2 linked regions of the Macaca mulatta genome follow. The protein of the gene in region 1 interacts with the protein of each later gene in a pairwise test. Links are inferred from orthologs where the notes say so. Each region holds a gene or a part of one and is shown in the gene's direction. Other genes may lie near its edges.

Region 1 (9,444 bases):
AGCTTGCAGTGAGCCGAGATCGCGCCACTGCACTCCAGCCTGGGCGACAGAGCGAGACTCCGTCTCAAAAAAAAAAAAAAAAAAAAAAAGAATTTTGTCATCTAAAATATGTGTGTGTATTGTGTGTGTTGGCGGTGTGGGAGTGTGTATTTTTCTCCAGTAAAACTTAAGCGAGAACAGAGAACAGTCTTGGGTTAAAGCTCCAATCTAACAATGCAACATGTTAAACTAGATTATATACACTAAGTAAACTGAGGGTCTACAATTTTAAATATGGTTTTATTGGGCAAAAACAAAATCAATGTCTGGAAAGCTCATTCCTAGTCGAGGCTGACTGCTGGGGCTGGGCAATTGCTCAGCCCTGGACTCTGAGGACCAGCTCGGTTTGGTCACCACTTCCTGGGGAAGGCAGTGGCAGGGGAGGGAGGAGGAGTGACTGAGATGCTGCGGTGGGGAAAGCCTAAGACTCAGAGACTGCTGCCCATTCACTGCCCATTCATCTTCCCCCTGCCTTTAGTGAAAAGATGCCTGTCATTTTAATGTAAGCATACAACATTCTGGCTGGGCACAGTGGCTCATGCCTGTAATCTCAACACTTTGGGAGGCCAAGGCAGGAGGATTGCTTGAGACCAGGAGTTCAAGACCAGCCTGGGCAACATAGCAAGACTCCATCTCTAAAAAACAATTAATTGGCTAGGCATGGTGACACACACCTGTAGCCCCAGCTACTCAGGAGGCTGAGAAGGGAGGATTGCTTGAGCTCAGGATTTGAAGGCTGCAGTGAGCCATGATCATGCCATTGTACTCCAACCTGGGGATAAGCAAAACTCAGTCTCAAAAGAAAAAGGAATAGGATATTTTGATACTTTAAAGTCGTAGTGATTAGCTTCTGAAAACCACACACCTAGGAACGTCTGAATGGTCCTAAATAAACGCACGCATGCACGCATGCACACATGCACACACATAGAGAGAGAGAAAGAGAGAGAGAGAGAGAGAGAGAGAGAGAGAGTTGCTCTTCAACTTACGATGGACTTATCTGGATGTAACCCCATCATAAATTGAGGAGCATAAGGGATGCAAGCATCCTAAGTCAGGAACTGCCTGTATATCACCATGATTATAACTGTGCTGTAAGTATTTACAGTTTTCATGTCCCTGACTTCTCTCACCTATATGCCTCTGCTCAGGACGTTCCTTCTTTGGGAACTCTCTTCGCCTTCTCCCCTACCCACACGCTGCAGCCCACCTCTCTAATGTCTGTTATCCCTTAACGCTCACCTCAAACATCATCTGTCTAAGGAAGAGCAGCGCCCCTGCTTCCTCCCCTACTTGGTCCAGGACTGAGTTGATGTTCTTCTACCAGCAACTCTTGCACATAGTCACAATTGTTAGTATTGATGCTTTCATTCTCTCTCCCACAACTAGACTGTGAGCATCTTGAGGGAAGAGACCGCGTCTCCTTTGTTTTCATATGTTCTGACTCATCACAACACCCAATGCCTTTCACCTAGTAGCATATTATGTAAGATGAAGGAATTATGAACAAATGCATGAATTTCCGCTGCTATTGCCTCACCTCATCAAACTACAGCAATAGCATCCTAATGTGTCTCTCTGCGGCCAGGCTCAAGCCCTATTCAATACACCTCCTCACCACTGTGAAGATGATCTTTTAAGAATGCAAACTGACAGGGTGCAGTGGCTTACGCCTGTAATCCCAGCACTTTGGGAGGCCAAGGCAGGTAGATCACCTGAGGTCAGGAGTTGGAGAGCAGCCTGGCTAACATGGCAAAACCCTGTCTCTGCTAAAAATACAAAAATTAGCAAGGCATGGTGACACGTGCCTGTAATCCCAGCTACTTGGGAGGCTGAGGCAGGAGAATTACTTGAACCTGGGAGGCAGAGGTTGCACTGAGCTGAGATCACACCACTACACTCCAGCCTGGGCTACAGAGTGAGACTCCATCTCAGAAAAAATAAATAAATAAAAAATACAAACGGATCATATCAGCTCCTGCTTAAAATACATCATTAGTTTCCCATAATCTGCGAGGAAGGGTCCCATCCCTTTACCATGGTGCACGTGACCCTCTCCCCTGCCTTCTTCCCAGTCCCCCCACTTGCCAGTACCCGGTGTGCCCTCCAACCCCAGCTGTAAGGAACATGGCTCCCTCCCTCCCCTGCCTTTGTGCAGGCTGTTCCACCACCTGGAACAGCCACATCCCACCCTCCCTGTGAGTTTCCACTGGACCTTTGAGACTGAGCCGGAGCACATCTTCTGGGAAGTTTTCCCACCCTTGAATTGGCTGCATTATATTTCAGTGCTTGAGAAATAGATTGTTAAAGTAATCTCATTTTAGTCATCTCAGGTCTTTATACAGTGTTACATTTTTCTGTGAGCCTAACCTCACATATGCTTGTGCTTCTGAACATCCAGTATCTTCATGCTTCCTCCTTGATGACTGCGGCTTCCCAGAATAACCTTTTCCCCTCTGTCTTCCCCAGGCATCTTTCCCACAGCATTACTCTAGCATTTGCATTCTATTTATCTTTATTTCTACTTATTTATCTTTTATTTATTTATTTTCCATTAAACTTAGGGATCCTTCTAGAGAAGGAATTTCTTTGGCTAGGTGTGGTGGCTCACACCCATAATCCCAGCACTTTGGGAGGCCAAGGCGGGTGGACCACCTGAGGTCAGGAGTTCGAGACCAGCCTGGCTAACAGGGTGAAACTCCATTTCTACTAAAAACAACAAAAAATTAGGCAGGCATGGTGGTGGGCATCTGTAATCCCAGCTACTTGGAAAGTTGAGGCATAAGAGTCTCTTGAACCCGGGAGGTGGAGGGTGCAGTGAGCCAAGATTATACCACTGCATTCCAGCCTGGGCAACAGAGCAAGACTCTGTCTCAAAAAAAAGAGAAGAAATTTTTGTCCTGTTCATCTTTACACCCTCACCACCGAAGGCAACAGCACCCAGCATTTTCCCCAACATAGTATCCAGTGTTTACTAAAGAAATATATCGAAGAATGAATGGATTAATTAATTAACTAATCAGAAGGTGAAGGTAGCCAATGTGTTAATCTAGTGAAATCGTGGTGGATATTTCATTACTTTATTCTTGTTGTACTTGTTATTAATTGATTTATTCTTGTTTATTCTTATTACTTTATAAATTCTTAGACATAATAACTTTCAATGAAAGGCAAACACTTATTCATCCTTTGAGCTCAGGAAGCTGTTGCTATTTCCCCTACTGTGCAAATGAGCTGTGGCAGCCCCATAGGAGAGCTTGGAACTATGAGTGATAAGAGGGCCAGGCCAACAAGGGGTGTAGGGAACATGTGGCCCGATGTTTTTTGATCCATGGCTGCCTATTGGAATCTCTGGGGTGTTTCCAAAAATCCTAATGCTTGGATCCCAGCCTTTGATTCTGATAGGGTTACCTAGCATGTGGCCTGGGATTCCAACATGCAGTCAAGGTGAAAAACTATTGATGTGGAGAAAAACAGAAGGAAACAGCAGGCTGGTTTCCTCCTAAACCTCATGAAGCTGGATGCTGCGTGAGCCCGGCTGGTTACATTAGGAAATGCTGTCTACGCTGCCAGTCCATCCACCCCCTGGCTCTGTTTTGTCCTGCTTTCCCAGAGCGTCCTAACAAAGTAATTGATGCAATGTCCAACCTTGTTTGGAAAAGAGATCTTTCTGTACTTTGGTTGTGAAAAGTGGGGGTTCTGCTGGTGGGGAGTGCAACTTCAGTGGACTTGCAGCAGTGGGGAGGGCAAGAGCAGGTCTCAGCCCCAGCTGCCCCCTCCTCCTAGTATGATTAAGCTCACTGCTGCTCTTCTGTGACGTCTTCCACCTTCAAATTTGTCTTGATGTTTGCCTTAAGCTGAGTTCCCCCTTCTTCCTGGAACCCTAAATTTGACAAAGGCACTTCCGCTCCCAAATAAAATATAGGTATATTCTCTTTTTCTCCAGTATGCACCAGGACACGACAGGGTATGCCTGCCTTCTCATTCAGCCAGCCAAGAAATCAGATGCTGGATGGTACACGTTGTCAGCCAAGAACGAAGCCGGCATCGTGTCGTGCACTGCCAGGCTGGATATATACGGTAAGTGTAATGCTGTCAGTTGAACATCTGTATGCAACTGATAGCTTACAAATCTTTCTTTAAAGATAAGTGGGCCGGGCAAGGTGGCTCACGCCTGTAATCTCAGCACTTCGGGAGGCCAAGGCAGGCAGATCACCCGAGGTCAGGAGTTCAAGACCAGCCTGGTCAACATGGTGAAACCCCACCTCCACTAAAAATACAAAAATTAGCCAGGCATGGTGGCACATGCCTGTAATCCCAGCTACTCAGGTAGCTGAGGCAGGAGAATCGCTTGAACCCAGGAGGCAGAGGTTGCAGTGACCCGAGATTGTACCACTGCACTCCAGCCTGGGTAACAGAGCAAGACTCTGCTTCTAAATAAATAAATAAAATAAAGATAGATGGAGTATGCTTCCATAAATGAATTGGGTAGGCTATACTATATTTTAGTGCTTAAGAGATAGATTTTAAAAGTCATCTCATCCTGGTTACCTCAGGGCATTACTTTTACATTTTACTATGAGCTTAACCTTCTTCCAAAAGAGGGCCTCTAATATCAGGAATTACAGCTAGTCCAGAGTTTCCAAGTGCTTGTGCTTCTGAACATCCAGTGTTTTCTTGCCATCTCCTTGCTGCTGCGGGCTACCCACTGGAACTTCCCACTACCTGTGATCCCCCGGCAGAATTTTTGACACTCCTTTCATTTATTCATTTAACAAATGTGTATTGCTCCAATCCCCCAATCAGACGTCTCTAATAATAGAGAGCTGTCCTAATAATGATAATATCAAGTGACATTTGTAGAATGACACATAGGATCCCCTCTCTCTTCCAAAGGCGGGATCCAAAGTGATACCCTTAAATCTCCCAGACCCATGAGATTATTATAATTGTAGTTACCTTCATCTAAGGCTGAAGATCACATGAGAGTAACAACATTGTACAAGCTGTCCCACCACCTGGAACAGCCCGCCCCACCCTCCCTGTGAGTTTCCACTCAACCTTTTAGACTGAGCTGGAGCACGTCTTCTGGGAAGCTCCCCCACACCTGAATTGGCTGTGTTATATATTTAGTGGAAGGCTCAGAGAGGTTAGTGACTACAGCTAGGAAGCAAATCTAGGCCTTTGCATTGTTTCTTTGAACCACATTTCCAATTTTCAAAAGGATCCAAGAAATTAATTTTTATTTATGTATTTGTGTAGTCAATCCTACACTTTTTGACATTAACTGGTATTTTTGGAGACATATTTCTTAACCCAAAAGAGTGTTTCTTTTTTTTTTTAATCCTTTTTTTAAAGAACATAATTGATTAGAAAGTCTCACATTCAAAACTGGCTTAACCTGATTAACCAACATAATAAATAAGAGTAGCTCTGTCTGTTGCCTGACAGACGTCTCTGTTATTTATGGGTACACAGCAGGTATTCCGTTTGTTTAGTACCATGCGGGAGGGGCTTCAGCCTGCCATTTTCCCTAGGTCTAGTTTTTGGAGAAAATATGTAATTTTCTGGTTATTTTCCCTTATCCTAGGACTTGAGAAGAAATTAAACGACACTAATGTGCTTTTCCCTGGAAAAATTGGGGGAGAAAGAGGCCAATAGTGATAGGTTCCTTAATCAAGGCTAAGTCCTTAGCCATTTCCCAGTCTTCACCAAGTCAGAAGGCAGTAGGTCTCCAACTGAGAAACTCCCTACCAATAAGCCCTGAAACAGATGACTCTTGCGCCAATCCTGCCCTCCAGTGGGTGAGTTTCCAGGTCACTTTGTCCTGGCTCTCCTCTCCCTTTCGTTCCTGTCCTGCTTCCATAGCACCAACGATAGGCAGTGCTGTTTCCTCAGCTGGGACCTAGGATGGAGAAGGCGTGGAGGACTCGGGCTGGAATCAGTTCCCTTCCCCACCACCACACTTCCTGCCTTTCTGAGGAATGGGGACACGTAGGGCTCCCCTCTCTCCTGTCTCACTTCCTAATCCTAGGAACTGCAGTAGTCCAGTTACGATGTCAGAGAGAGCAGGGAAGGGCTAAGAGATGGAGGGGCTGGGAGGAGAGACTGTGCAAGAGCAGGCCTTACTGAGTGTCTGCTCTTTAGTGAAACTGCTCTAAGTTTGGTCCCCCAGATTTTTATTTTTCCGAATTCACTCAGAGGTATGTAGACTGAAAAACTGAATCAAGATGATGAAATCAACAAAGGACCAATTTCTAAATCGGAATGCTAGAAAGGGGCACAGCTTTCCAGGACCCACAGCATGAGAGTTCCCCACCTAGGGAACACGCTTCTCCACATCAAAGTACCCAGAAACCTAGTCAGAAGATTGCCTGGTAATTTCTGAATCAGGAACCACGGCAGAGACTATGAAGTTTGGATGGGTATCTCACTCAGGCCATGTTCAAACCTTAAAGTCGTGTCTGCTAAAAACAGCAGCACTTGGTGAACATAGAAACTCTAATAAATTGTCTTTTGTCCCTGAACCATGGTTGATTGTACCTAAATTACTTTTCAGTCTTCTTGCTGTAACAATAGAACCTGATTGGGGAGATGGGTAGATAAGTAATGGCTGATGAGGGTGATTAGGGTGTGAGGTAGGCACTGCTCAGGTCAAACCCATTGTTTGGCTTTCATTTCTGCAGCTTTCTTATCTCTATCTTTTGAGGTACCCTCTTTGAGAGCCTACAACCCTCTGTACACTGCCCCTAACAGGCCTTCATGGTAGGCTGGTGGAAGGGGATAAGCTTGAGAAATCGCCCTAGTCACTCACTCTTCCATCTTATAGAATTCTTTTTTTTTTTTTGAGATGGAGTCTCGCTGTGTCACTTAGGTGAAGTGGCATGCCTTGGCGTGATCTTGGCTCACTGCAACCGCCACCTCCTGGGTTCAAGTGATTCTCATGCCTCAGCTTCCTGAGTAGCTGGGATTAGAGGTGTACACCACCATGTCCAGCTCATTTTTGTATTTAGTAGAAACTGGGTTTCACCATGTTGGCCAGCCTGGTCTTGAACTCCTGAGCTCAAGTGATGTGCCCGCCTCAGCCTCCCAAAGTGCTGGGATTACAGGCATGAGCCACTGTGCCCGGCCCCATCTTAGAGGAATTCTAATCTCTCACTTGTAGGATTCTAGTATCTTACTGAATTAGAATCACAGATTTTGGAATTAGGGGCTTAAGACATTGCCAGCACAGTTTCCTTATTCCTGGCAGGGAAGGCTTTATTGTTCTCTTCTACAGATGAGGCAATTCAGACCCAGATATAGTTACATGCTTTACCAAGAATCTGCAGGGAGCATCAGGGTGAGGACCGAATGCGCCTCTGCGGTGTGCCTGGTGGACTGCATTCCTTTGATCATAACACATTGTTTGGTCCATTTTCCAGCTCAGTGGCACCATCAGATCCCACCGCCCATGTCTGTCCGGCCCAGCGGCAGTCGCTACGGATCTCTCACCAGTAAAGGACTTGACATATTTTCTGCCTTTTCCTCCATGGAAAGCACGATTGTGTATTCATGCTCTTCTCGGAGTGTGGTGGAGAGTGATGAACTTTAAGAATGTCTGGGTGCCTGCTGTGTAACAGAGCGGACTGTGGAGGGGGAATGAGAACAAGCCAGACTTGGTGGTTTCCAAACAACCGAAGTTGAGTAAGTTCCCACGCTGCTGGACCTGTGTCAAGGAGTGCTTTGAACAAGTCAGCTAGGGATTCTTGCAGTCTCAGCTGGGGGAGAAAGGTAGGGCCGTGCCTTCTAAAGATTCCAACAGAGATGTGAGAAGATAATACAGATGAACCAAAGATGTCACACAGTTGCCATCCACTGCTTTGGGAAAAAACTAGCATGTTCCCCTGCCCCCTGTTGTGTTAGGGATGTTTAGGTTGTACTAGGAGCAATTAGGAGCAATATGCCTGGGCTGAGAGGAGTTAGGCAGTAGTGACCTTAGGATATAACTAACTCACCAAACAATGCCAAGGAGAAAGGTGGGGAGGTCACCATCGCCTTTCATCGATTACATGTATAGCAGTAGTTTTGGTGAATTCACTAAATCAGCTTCCACTTAGCATTAGGAGGTCATGCCATACAACTCACGTATGCAGACAGACACTTTTGATTTGCATATCCTGGGTGTACTGAGCCACATAATAAGGTGTCAAAATGTGCTTGAAAGTCCAAAAACTCACTGAAACAGTTGATATTGCACAGTGCACTTATTTTGTGGCCAAAACATGGCCTTACCAGCTTGTCTGCACCATTTTCTTTTGGGTGGTGACTGGTTTTTTCTGACTTTGCATATCCCTAGACACTAGAACTAAAGGATTGTTAATAAGCCAATCAGAAAGAAATCCTCTGCGGGGTCACTTTAAAAACTACTAGCTTCAACTGCCACTTACAAAATGTGCAAGAGTCATCATTGACCCACAAAATACACCTCACGCGCTCCTACCCCTCTCCCCAAAAGTCTGAAAGTGCAGGAGGAAGGAAGAGATACAAACAAGGAGAGGAAATGATGGGAGAGTGTTGTTTTTGTCACTTGCCCCAGCAGAGCAGTGGTTTTGGAAGGAGAGGTCTTTAATCGCTTTGAAATGCTTTGAGATCATTAGTCAAATTGCGTTTTCTATGTAGAAAATATTCTGCTAAGTGGAAAAGTTGGGGGAAAGGGGAATATGCATCTTTATTCTAATCACCAATTCAAACCCTGCCTCTTAAGGAATTTTTAGACTTGAGTTCACTGTGATATCCCTAGTGCCTAGAAGAGTACCTAGCACAAAGTAGACATTCAATAAATATTTGCTGGATGAATGAATCTTCTATTATTATGTCTATTATAAGATAGCCTAATCTTATATTCTGCAGGAATATACCACCCACACACCAGTCCAAACACTGCCCTGGGAACGCTCATGATAGCACAGTTTGCTCTAGGCTGTCCAGGGAAATGAATTGCAGGTGTCTGTTACCAATTCCCTGTGCTCGAATCTCTGATGCTGTCTGTGCCAAGCACCCCCAGCTGGCATTGTATTTGTGTGAACAGATAGTAACTGCTTAGAAAGGCTTGAAACTTTCTTCACTTCAAGGCAAGGATTTCCAGCATAAAAATAAATTCATTCACTCGAGAAATCATTTGTATGTCTACTCTGTATGAGATGCTGTGCTAGATACTGAGGCAGATATAAAGATATGAATAAGTCACAGTCCCTGCCCTCAGAGAGCTCACAACCTACTAGAGAAGGTAATATTTGAGGCATGCAGAATGCTGTCTCTTGAAGCAAAGTGGAAGTTTCTAGTGCTCTTCATTCTATTTTTTCATAACTTTAAAAGTCTTTTCAATCTTTATTTCTTAATAAAACAAAATGCCATAGGTTACAT
Region 2 (9,850 bases), about 21 Mb from region 1:
TGCCCAGGCTAGTACTGAACTCCTAAGCTCAAGCGATCTGCCTGTCTCTGCCTCCCAAAGTGTTGGGATAACAGGTGTGAGCCACTGTGCCTGGCCAATAGCTGGTTTCATATACTCTATTTCTTGACCTCTCTGATCCATTTTGAAGAAAAAATGCTGCAATTATTATGCTGTTTAAGAACACGGTAAGCATGTCATGTGCTAATTATGGCCAGTGACATCATAAAAGACAAGTGCATTACTGAATGCTTTCAATTTCTTATAATGATGGTAAGGTGGCATGTCATGGGGCCTATTTAGCCCCAGACATCACTCCAAAGAATTCCAAACAGATATAGACAAGTGCCCTTAGGGCCCAGATCCCTTCCCCTTAGGCTGTTTACCCGGGGAATAGGATGTCCTGAGGCAAGTTTCCCCTAAGTGAAGTGTTGATAAGTCTGCTTATCAGAAAGATATTACTGGGGTGTGATATGTAGGGCATCTACATTTTCTTGATAGGTAGTCATATGAAAGCTGACAAAGAAAAAAAAGGGCAGTGATGTGGTGCAATGTCAACAGACAGCTGTCCCCTGCCTCTTGACAAATAGGATGACTTGCATTGCTGAGCGGTGTGATCACCACCAAAGGAATGGCCCTCTCACATTTCTTCCTGATTCACATATTCAGCGGGGTTAGCTTGTCCTCCCCTCCCTCTTCAGCTTCCCAGACACTGAGTCTGGAATGAAAATTCACCTGCCTCTGAGTTGGCTCCTAGTAGGGGCGGGGGTGTTACTAGGGTTCCCAGGTTGGAAGATTATCTCACCCGGCCCCAGCTATATAAGCTGACCGGTGTGGAGGGGCCCAGCAGGGCCAACTCCAGGGATTCCTTCCACGACAGAAAAACATACAAGACTCCTTCAGCCAACATGATGGTACTGAAAGTAGAGGAACTGGTATGTAAGATACATTAATTTAATAAATTGACAACTGGTTCATCTTGGTTTTTGTTTGAAAATGGAAATGCCCTTTGCTTTCAGGCATAATGCAAGGGAACTCTGAAAATGTCATATGTGGAAAAAGGTTGACGTGATGAAACAAGTAAAATTGGAAAAAAAAAATGGAGCTACCAGCAATGAATTCTCTGCATATTTCCTATTTAATATCTTCTCCTTTGGTTTTATTACTACGGTGTGGAATCACATGTAGTTATCAAAATGTCTTAGGCAAGAAGTTTTCTTGCAAGAATGTAAGTCTGGAAACTTTACAACAAGGTGAAGCGTCAACAAAAGTACTTAAAGTTGAGTTTTAATTAAGTAGAGAAGGTTTGTGACTTTCCTAAAAGAAATGTGATTAAGCAGATTAAAAGTAGATGTAAATATGTCAACCTAACCCAAGCTTTGATTTAACCAAGAGAGTAGGACAAGCACCTGAAGTTAATTCTGAGACATTTGTAGCAGCGTGCGTGTGTCGCAGCTTGAGATCTGCGAGTGCACTGCTCAAAGGTGGCTGTTCCCAGGGAAGAAGGACCCAGAGCCTCCTGCAGCATTGTCTGTGAAGAAGGACCCAGGACAAGGCTGCTGCTTCTGACGCTGCCATCTTCTTCCCTCATAGGTCACTGGGAAGAAGAATGGCAACGGGGAGGCAGGGGAATTCCTTCCTGAGGATTTCAGAGATGGAGAGTATGAGGCTGCTGTTACTTTAGAGAAGCAGGAGGATCTGAAGACACTTCCAGCCCACCCTGTGACCCTGGGGGAGCAACAGTGGAAAAGCGAGAAACAACGAGAGGCAGAGGTGAGAGCCATCTGTGGAATCCACTAGTAGGATGTTGGGGCTGGAGCAGGGATTGGAAATGCCAGGGAAGGAGAAGAGAGAAGCAAACCCAATCATTAAGATGTTTCTTTACCAGATTCTAACCCATAAAGAGGCAACTTGTATGGAACAGGTTTTGGGAATAATTCTTTGACAAGACTATGACCTCTGAATTCTGAATCAATGAATAAATGTGCTGTGACCATGTTTTGATTGAAAGATACACATGTCCAGTGAATTCCTGATGTTACACACCATGTAGTTAATCCCAAGCAAGGGAGATCTCTTTTTCTCAATAACATGGTCTGTGGTCCTTGGATCATTGTTTAACTGTCTGCTGTCTGTGTTGACACAATCTGTGTTTCTGGGTGAATTTTCCTTAATTACTAACACAGATAAAAGTTGCTTTAGTTAGCTGTGGTACCTGGACAGTCTGTTTTAGAAGGCTCTGCCTAGTGAAAGAGAATGACATTGATATTTCAGAGCTTAACATTTATTGTTAGATTCTTTTTTATCATGCTCAAAAATTAAACCAAGTTTTGAGCATAATTTTAAAAATCCTTCAAAAATCTAGAGCTTGTTTACGGCATTAATTACAAAGTCATCACTTAGAGACCAGATTGTGTCCTCAGTTAGGCAAGGGCTGATTCTACAAGCAACAGAAGTAAAGATGATGGCAATTAGCTGAAAATTAGACTCCCAGATAAATATCTGAATAAGAAATCCCTAAAATGAAGTCAAAGATTTATATAATTTTTAAAAAATGTTTTTGCTCAAACTGTTCACATGTTTATCTCAGACCTTGCAGATTTAGTTTAGACACAACCAGAATGCTTGTCAGTAGAACTCACCATATTTTTGAAATACGAATTTCTTTTTAGCTCAAAAAGAAAAAACTAGAACAAAGATCAAAGCTTGAAAATTTAGAAGACCTTGAAATAATCATTCAACTGAAGAAAAGGAAAAAATACAGGAAAACTAAAGTTCCCATTGTAAAGGAACCAGAACCTGAAATCATTGTAAGGACTTTTTTTGGTTTTCAGTAATACGTGTCCAGTATTGTGCTACAGGGGAGCAAATATCTGTGGAGGGTTTGATTGAATGTTGGCAAGCTCACGGTAACTCTCATGCTATGTATATATATCTATATTTTTTGGCTTTAGACGGAACCTGTGGATGTGCCTACGTTTCTGAAGGCTGCTCTGGAGAATAAACTGCCAGTAGTAGAAAAATTCTTGTCAGACAAGAACAACCCAGATGTTTGTGATGAGGTAAGACTCATGCAAAGCACTGCAAAATCCAGCACATTAATTTTATGTTTCTTATGCTTTACTGCAGTCTTGCTAATATAATGCCAAAGTCCTTCCACCTGAAACAGTTTCCCCAGCTGTTGCTGTGTGTGCCAGGAGCCTAATAGGAGAGTTCAGTGGTCCAAAAAATAAATATATATTGGATCAGTGCTACGGATTGTATTGTCTTTTGCACTCATATACATCTGGCTGATTTTTCAGTTTTTTTTTTAACTTCTTAGATCCTTGTGATAAGATTTTAATGTGGGCCAAAGAGTCACCTTTAGAGAGAGATAATTAGCATCATCTTGGATTAAAACCAAACATGTCAACACTAGATAGGAAATCTGGAGACTGGAGTTCAGGGGCCAGTTGTACCACTACTTGGCTATTTGGTTTTGAGCAGCTAATTTGCATCCTCTGGGCTGTGGTTTCCTTATCTGTAAACATGGGGCATTGGAGTGAAATAATGCCTAAAGTTGTTCCAGCTCTAATAGTCCATTCGCCCATTCAGATAAAGCCAATTTATCAGAAATCACTAATCCTTTTGTATTCTTTCCCCCATGAAGTGAAATTGGGGATCGCTTCTAAAGTTGAACTAAAAACGTGTCTCCCATTCTCCTAAAAATGAATGGAAACTTTTTGATAGTCAGTCTAGCAACAGTCCTAGATACAAGAAAACTGTCTGATCTGCATGGTAATGTTACATGAACAAGGAAGGTGCAAGATACAAGAAAGGGAGACGTCAGCATTTAGACAGTTTTGAGCCTTTAAGTTCACATTCCTCAACGTAGGCCTTTGAGCCCTTAGAAATGTATGTTGAAGGAAGCTCAAATATTAGTTGCAGGATAATTGTTCTGATTCTGCAACTTTAGTTAACTTTGACATTTCTATTCATAAAGAAGCACTTGAGTTTCTATCAGTTAGGTCATCAGAATCTCCAGCTTCATAGCTCTTAAAAGGGTTTATGCACATTTTTATATTTATTGCTATCTCTTTTTAAAATCTCTGTTCTGACAGTATAAACGGACAGCTCTTCATAGAGCATGCTTGGAAGGACATTTGGCAATTGTGGAGAAGTTAATGGAAGCTGGAGCCCAGATCGAATTCCGTGATATGGTAAATATATTTCTTTGCTTGGGAATGAGCCAAAAGAAGTAGACTATATGAAGCTCCGGAAAACCTCCAATGCAAAACCGGACTGATTGGACTGAAAATTGATCTGAGAGAACTAGGCAAAAGCTCATTTCTCCAAATAAAGAAAAGTTGGGAGATGAGAGTAGGTCATGTGAAAATATTTTCCATACATACTGAAAATAGAGGAATATTTTAGGGAAAAGAAGGAAGTGAAAGCTGTTCAACTGAATTCAATATCCTCATCAGTGAGTTAGTCATTCATTTTCGACACTTGCCTTTCAACAGCCTTGTCCCTCCATTGTTCACAGGGCAGCCTGCTCATGGTCCCTTGGCTGCCAGCAACATATATGAATTCTCTAGCTGTACACTTTATATTATAGATGCCAATTGTTACCAATGAGATTTAGGGCTAGACTGAATATGAAATGAGTTGCATCTATGGAAAGTAGCTGCTATTCAGACCTCAATAATTCAATCACTGTGATTTTTACAAAGACCAGTATGCAGCATAATTTATGAACTGCAGATTGAGCTGGGAAAATTCTTTATGTACTTAAATGCAGCTCATTTTGACTTTATAGCAAAGCAGAAACGGGATATCAAAGAAATCCAAAGGACTTGGCCAAAATTGAATCCAAAACATAAACACATTGAAAAAAAAAAATAAAGAAACAAAATATGAAGTTTGCATGGAAACTAAAAATCTTGAGTGTGAGATTAAGGCCAGGGGCATATCAACCACATAGATCAGTGAGGAGAGGGTCTCCCAGGTGTAACTATACACGTTACAACTGTAGACACAAGTGACTATAGTTGAGGTACAGAGGCTGTGCTAGCAAAAATGAGAGCAGAAAACCCACAGAGATAGAGAAAGAGCGACAGGGACCCTAGATGAGGTGACAGATCCAGATTAAAATATTTTGGAAGGGACAACTTTTATTCTGCTAGAATTTTTAAATACATGTGTTTAGAACTTTTGAGTACATTTGACAAAAGTAGTTAGAAGTTCCAGGCAGATGGGGGTTGGACTATGTATTCTGCCTCTTATTAATTGTGTTTCCTTGGGCTAGAAACTTGAACTTTTTGGAACCTGGTTTTTCTTATCTGCAAAATGTGCATAGTAACATCTACCTCAAAATGTTGCTGGAAGAATCAAGGTGTCTAGAGTGTAGCACCATGTTGGCATGAGAACTGTCTCAATAAATGGTCGCTCTTATTCTTTTAAAACATTATTAGATTTATTAAGAGCCTCCTAATAAGACACACGTATGCACACACACACACGTAATTTAGCTAACACATTTGGTAAGAACCTTTGACTCCAGTTAGAATTGGCGATCTAGATGGGGACAACTCAGTATTATCACGGATGCCCCTAGCAACCAGATTCTAATTCCCCAGACCACATTCTCCTTCACATTGTTGGGTCTTTTTCCGTCCCGGTGTAGCTTGAATCCACAGCCATCCACTGGGCAAGCCGTGGAGGAAACCTGGATGTTTTAAAATTGTTGCTGAACAAAGGAGCAAAAATTAGCGCCCGAGATAAGGTATTTCTTCTTCTTCTCCCTTCATTCATCCCTTCCCCCTCCCTGCCTCCCCTTCTCCACTTCTCACATTCTTCCCCCCGCCTCCCTCTCCCCTACTCGCCCGTCCTCCTCCCCTACTCCTTCATCTCCTAACCTTGCCTCTCCATTAAAGTCATCTGGAGGCCCATGCTGTGCGCAGGCACCCTAGTGACCACTTCTCCCCCTCGCACATGTCTTGGGGTCTGGGACAGCCTCTGTCCTCATTCCTAGCGAATCAGCAGCGTTTTCCAATTTTCCAGTTGCTCAGCACAGCGCTGCATGTGGCGGTGAGGACTGGCCACTATGAGTGCGCGGAGCATCTTATCGCCTGTGAGGCAGACCTCAACGCCAAAGACAGAGTGAGTAGCTGGACACGCTCGGGTTTCCCAAAGCTTCACTGCTTTTGTATTGGGAATCACTCTCCCAAGCCTGGGTGCCCTTGCAGGACCCACTTCCTGGCCTCAGACCCAGCTTGAACCTGTTGACTCTGCTTCTCTAGGAAGGAGATACCCCGTTGCATGATGCGGTGAGACTGAACCGCTATAAGATGATCAGACTCCTGATTATGTATGGCGCGGATCTCAACATCAAGAACTGTGTAAGTACTGGAAACAAGAAACACCGCTTGCAAGCTTTCCAATTTCCAGGAGCATTTCTTAAATAGGTGAAACGACTCCCACAGTGGCAGCATTTGAGGGGTCTTCGATGGTCTAAATGCCCCTGCCCATTTCCCCAAGGATGGTGTTTATCTTGGTTAGGACTCAGGTCACACGGCCAGAGATGGGGGAAGCCATAGATACTTCTATGACCTCAGTGACCTCAGTGCCTGATACAGTGCATAATAATTCTTTTACAATTTGGTCTTGGAAATGAAAGATAGTCAAAATTTGCTCATCCCCACAAACACCTAGAAGTCCAATCTGCCTTGGCCATTTCTGTCTGTGCAAGGGCTGAGGAAGTTAGAAATAAAGGCATCCACCATTTCCAAAATGTCCTAAAATTCCACAAGGGTCAGTGCAGGCAGTGAACTAAGGTTAATCAATATCCAATCTGAGTAATTCAGAAAGTCCCTTTCCTCCTTACAGCAATGTGAAATGTCATCATTTTCTTCCAGGGGTAGCTGTGCTTTTGCCTGTATTTTTTTTCAGATAATTTCTATCCATTCTCCACTTGGATTTGTCTTCACATCTCTCAAAATAATTTCCTATATTTAGGCCCTGAAAATTCTTGTATAAGTACATATTAATTTAACTTCATCTGTAAGCAGGGAACATAACCAACGTTTCCTCATGGTCTCAATTTCCAGACAAACACCATCTAATATAAGCTTAAAAAATATTGCCCAGAGGAACAGGTATAAATTTCTGAAGAAATAAATTTAAAGAAGCTTTTGAAGAATCACTTTACAAAAAAGAGGAGGGGGTGGGGAGGGAAACTCAGTCATCATATAAATGCAAATAATTTTCTCCCCTTATTTGTGTTGCAAAGACTGAGAAGAATATTTTACCGTTTAAAAAAAATCTGGCTTGGTGACAGGAACAAAGAATGGTGATAAATGAAGATTGCTTGGAGTGGGAAAGTGTTAACAGTAGGGCTCCCTCAGTCTAGATATTGGAATTGATCTTATCTAGTAATTTTTTAAAACTCTCAGAAAAAGAGCAGGTTCAATGAAATCTTGAAAGCTGCAGAAAATGTGAAGAGTTTTTTTCAGGCAGTCAGACACTCCCAGCAGAGACAAATGGCAGCATACAGCTTTAGGGAGACTGTGTAAGTAGCCAGAAAAATCACGATATAAATTTCAATGGAGAGAAGTGCAAGGAATTTTTGGAAGAGTAGCCCAGAATATACAAATAGGGCTCTGAATTATCAGTTAGATCTTAGCATCAGGTTTATGGAACTATTAATGTCATTGACCCAATGGATTGATGTTTTCCCCAAAGATCAATAACCTATTGATACCATGTAAAGGAGATCGGGAGCAGCATACAATATTTTCTCATTATCCAAAACTCTATATTCATGTCTACTGATGACTGTTCCTAGAGAAAGACACTACAAAGGTGGGGAAGTTCCAAAATGAAAGTTATAGGGCCACTAATTTAAATACCTACAGATCGCGTAATCTGACTGCAGGCTGACCTCACTGTGCCGGGCAAATGGCATAAGTGACTTCAATGTGTGGTTGTCAGGGTCTGTGCACATAACTCTTTTAAAGGTGGCCCTTCCCCAACCCAGTCTATGTTGCTCTGTAGAACCATGGGTACCATGTTGTTAACTCTTCTGATTTTTTCATAGAAGTCACAAATCCAGTTGGGAAATCTCTTGGTTTCCAATTGTTGCCAATTCATACTAATCTTAACAAAAATCTAAGTTCTCTTTGGGTCAAAACAAAACAAGTCTCTATTCTGGTTTGCATCTCAAAGCTGCCAATTTGCAGTCACTGGGTTAAAAAGAAACTTCTCAATGAATAGAGATGGAAAAAATTAGGACTTCTCAGATCTATAGATAAGAATTGAGAGATGATATGGTTTTAATATTTTTAAATCTTGAGACATGTGCATAAGGGAAATCAAAATTTCGTCTCAAAAATGATTTGTTCACACATGTCATTGCCATCAACTCCAAGAAAAACAAATTTCCTGGGAGAGTTCATTGAAAATTCTGACAAGTTCTGAAAAATCTGTTCCCAGGAACAGTAATAGTACCCAAGCAGTACCTGAGTACTTAAGCCAAGTTATTGATGCAGCTCATTTACTACCATTTCTTATCAATCAAAGAACTATCGTTCAAATGGATAGGCATTGATTCTTGGTCCAAGAGGGATGCTGCCACCTCCGGGAACCCATTCCACAGGATACTGGAAGATGTATGGAGGCATTTTATGAATTTCAAAATGACTTGAGGTGCTCTTGACACTTAGTATCTAGGGACAATGGATTTTACCAATACCTGGAATGGTCCCACGTGAAAAAGATTTCTACTCTTAAAATGGGAAAAGCATCCCTCTGAGAAACAGTGAAGGGTTGGTTTGAGTACAAACTGCAGATCACTAGTGGAAACTGTAAAACACTGTTATATACCTAATCCTTACCTCATGAAACACACACAGAGAATGTGAATTTACAGATGTCACCCACCTGAAAGTCAAGTTTCCTTGTCTCATTTGATTAGGCTGGGAAGACGCCAATGGATCTGGTGCTACACTGGCAGAATGGAACCAAAGCAATATTCGATAGCCTCAAAGAGAACTCCTACAAGACCTCTCGCATAGCTACATTCTGAGGGAAACGACAGACTCTTTGATCAGTAAATGTTTACTGGTATTTTGAAGGCATGGCCCAAGAGAAGAGACACTAGCCATAAAATCTAGTTTCTATTTATCAACGTGTTGTGAAGATGTACCTAATGAAGTTTTGAGAAAGCACAGGGTTATATGTGTTTAAATTTCCTTTAGTGAAACTCTGTTTATTTTTATGTATTTCTGTTTATTTATTTACTACCACGCTACTGATATTCAGACCTTCATGATAATCCATTTGGTGACCAGAGCTTCATTTGTATATAACACTTTCAGAGCCCTCCCATAGGTAGTTCTTAAACCAGGTGAAAGAGCAAAGTTCAAGTGCCTACTTACGTGTCATTCGCTTATGTAAGAGTTTTTAAGAGAGGGCTGATTATTGCAGCCCTCTTTTCTCCTGAATTTTTAATGCAGAAGTTTGAATGAAGCAAGGGAAGGCATGTAGGGACAGGAAAGGAAACAATGGAAGGAAAGTGATTCTGTGAAAAGGACAGTGAAGCCAGCTATTTTACCCCCAGGCAGGACTTTTTTTTTTTTTTTTTTTTTTTTAACCAAGTACACAGAGTACCCAGGTGAAGAGAACGTCATGAGTGTAAGTGCAAGGCAGTGGAAGGAGCGGCAAACTGGGACATGCAAAATTGAATTTGCTCAAAAAAGATGAAAGGAAATGCAAACTGTAAATGTGTAAATGTATATTGTATTGTATGTACATTTTATATTCATAATAAAAGCAAGCAAACTCTAAACCTCTAAACCTGTCTATAAGTGTGGTG

The links.
Region 2: the proteins of MYPN (region 1) and ANKRD1 interact in a two-hybrid assay, tested with the Homo sapiens proteins (2 studies listed by BioGRID). The link is inferred for Macaca mulatta from reciprocal best matches to the Homo sapiens genes MYPN and ANKRD1.

What each region holds. Positions count from the first base shown.
Region 1 is NC_133414.1:81,553,438-81,562,881, reverse strand, and holds the end of MYPN (myopalladin), read left to right. Parts: intron 1-3,985; coding exon 3,986-4,119; intron 4,120-7,463; coding exon 7,464-7,633; 3' UTR 7,634-9,195; downstream 9,196-9,444. UniProt on the Homo sapiens protein: Component of the sarcomere that tethers together nebulin (skeletal muscle) and nebulette (cardiac muscle) to alpha-actinin, at the Z lines.
Region 2 is NC_133414.1:102,938,864-102,948,713, reverse strand, and holds ANKRD1 (ankyrin repeat domain-containing protein 1), read left to right. Parts: upstream 1-603; 5' UTR 604-905; coding exon 906-932; intron 933-1,590; coding exon 1,591-1,770; intron 1,771-2,669; coding exon 2,670-2,807; intron 2,808-2,951; coding exon 2,952-3,059; intron 3,060-4,097; coding exon 4,098-4,196; intron 4,197-5,662; coding exon 5,663-5,761; intron 5,762-6,039; coding exon 6,040-6,138; intron 6,139-6,278; coding exon 6,279-6,377; intron 6,378-8,950; coding exon 8,951-9,061; 3' UTR 9,062-9,831; downstream 9,832-9,850. UniProt on the Homo sapiens protein: May play an important role in endothelial cell activation. May act as a nuclear transcription factor that negatively regulates the expression of cardiac genes. Induction seems to be correlated with apoptotic cell death in hepatoma cells.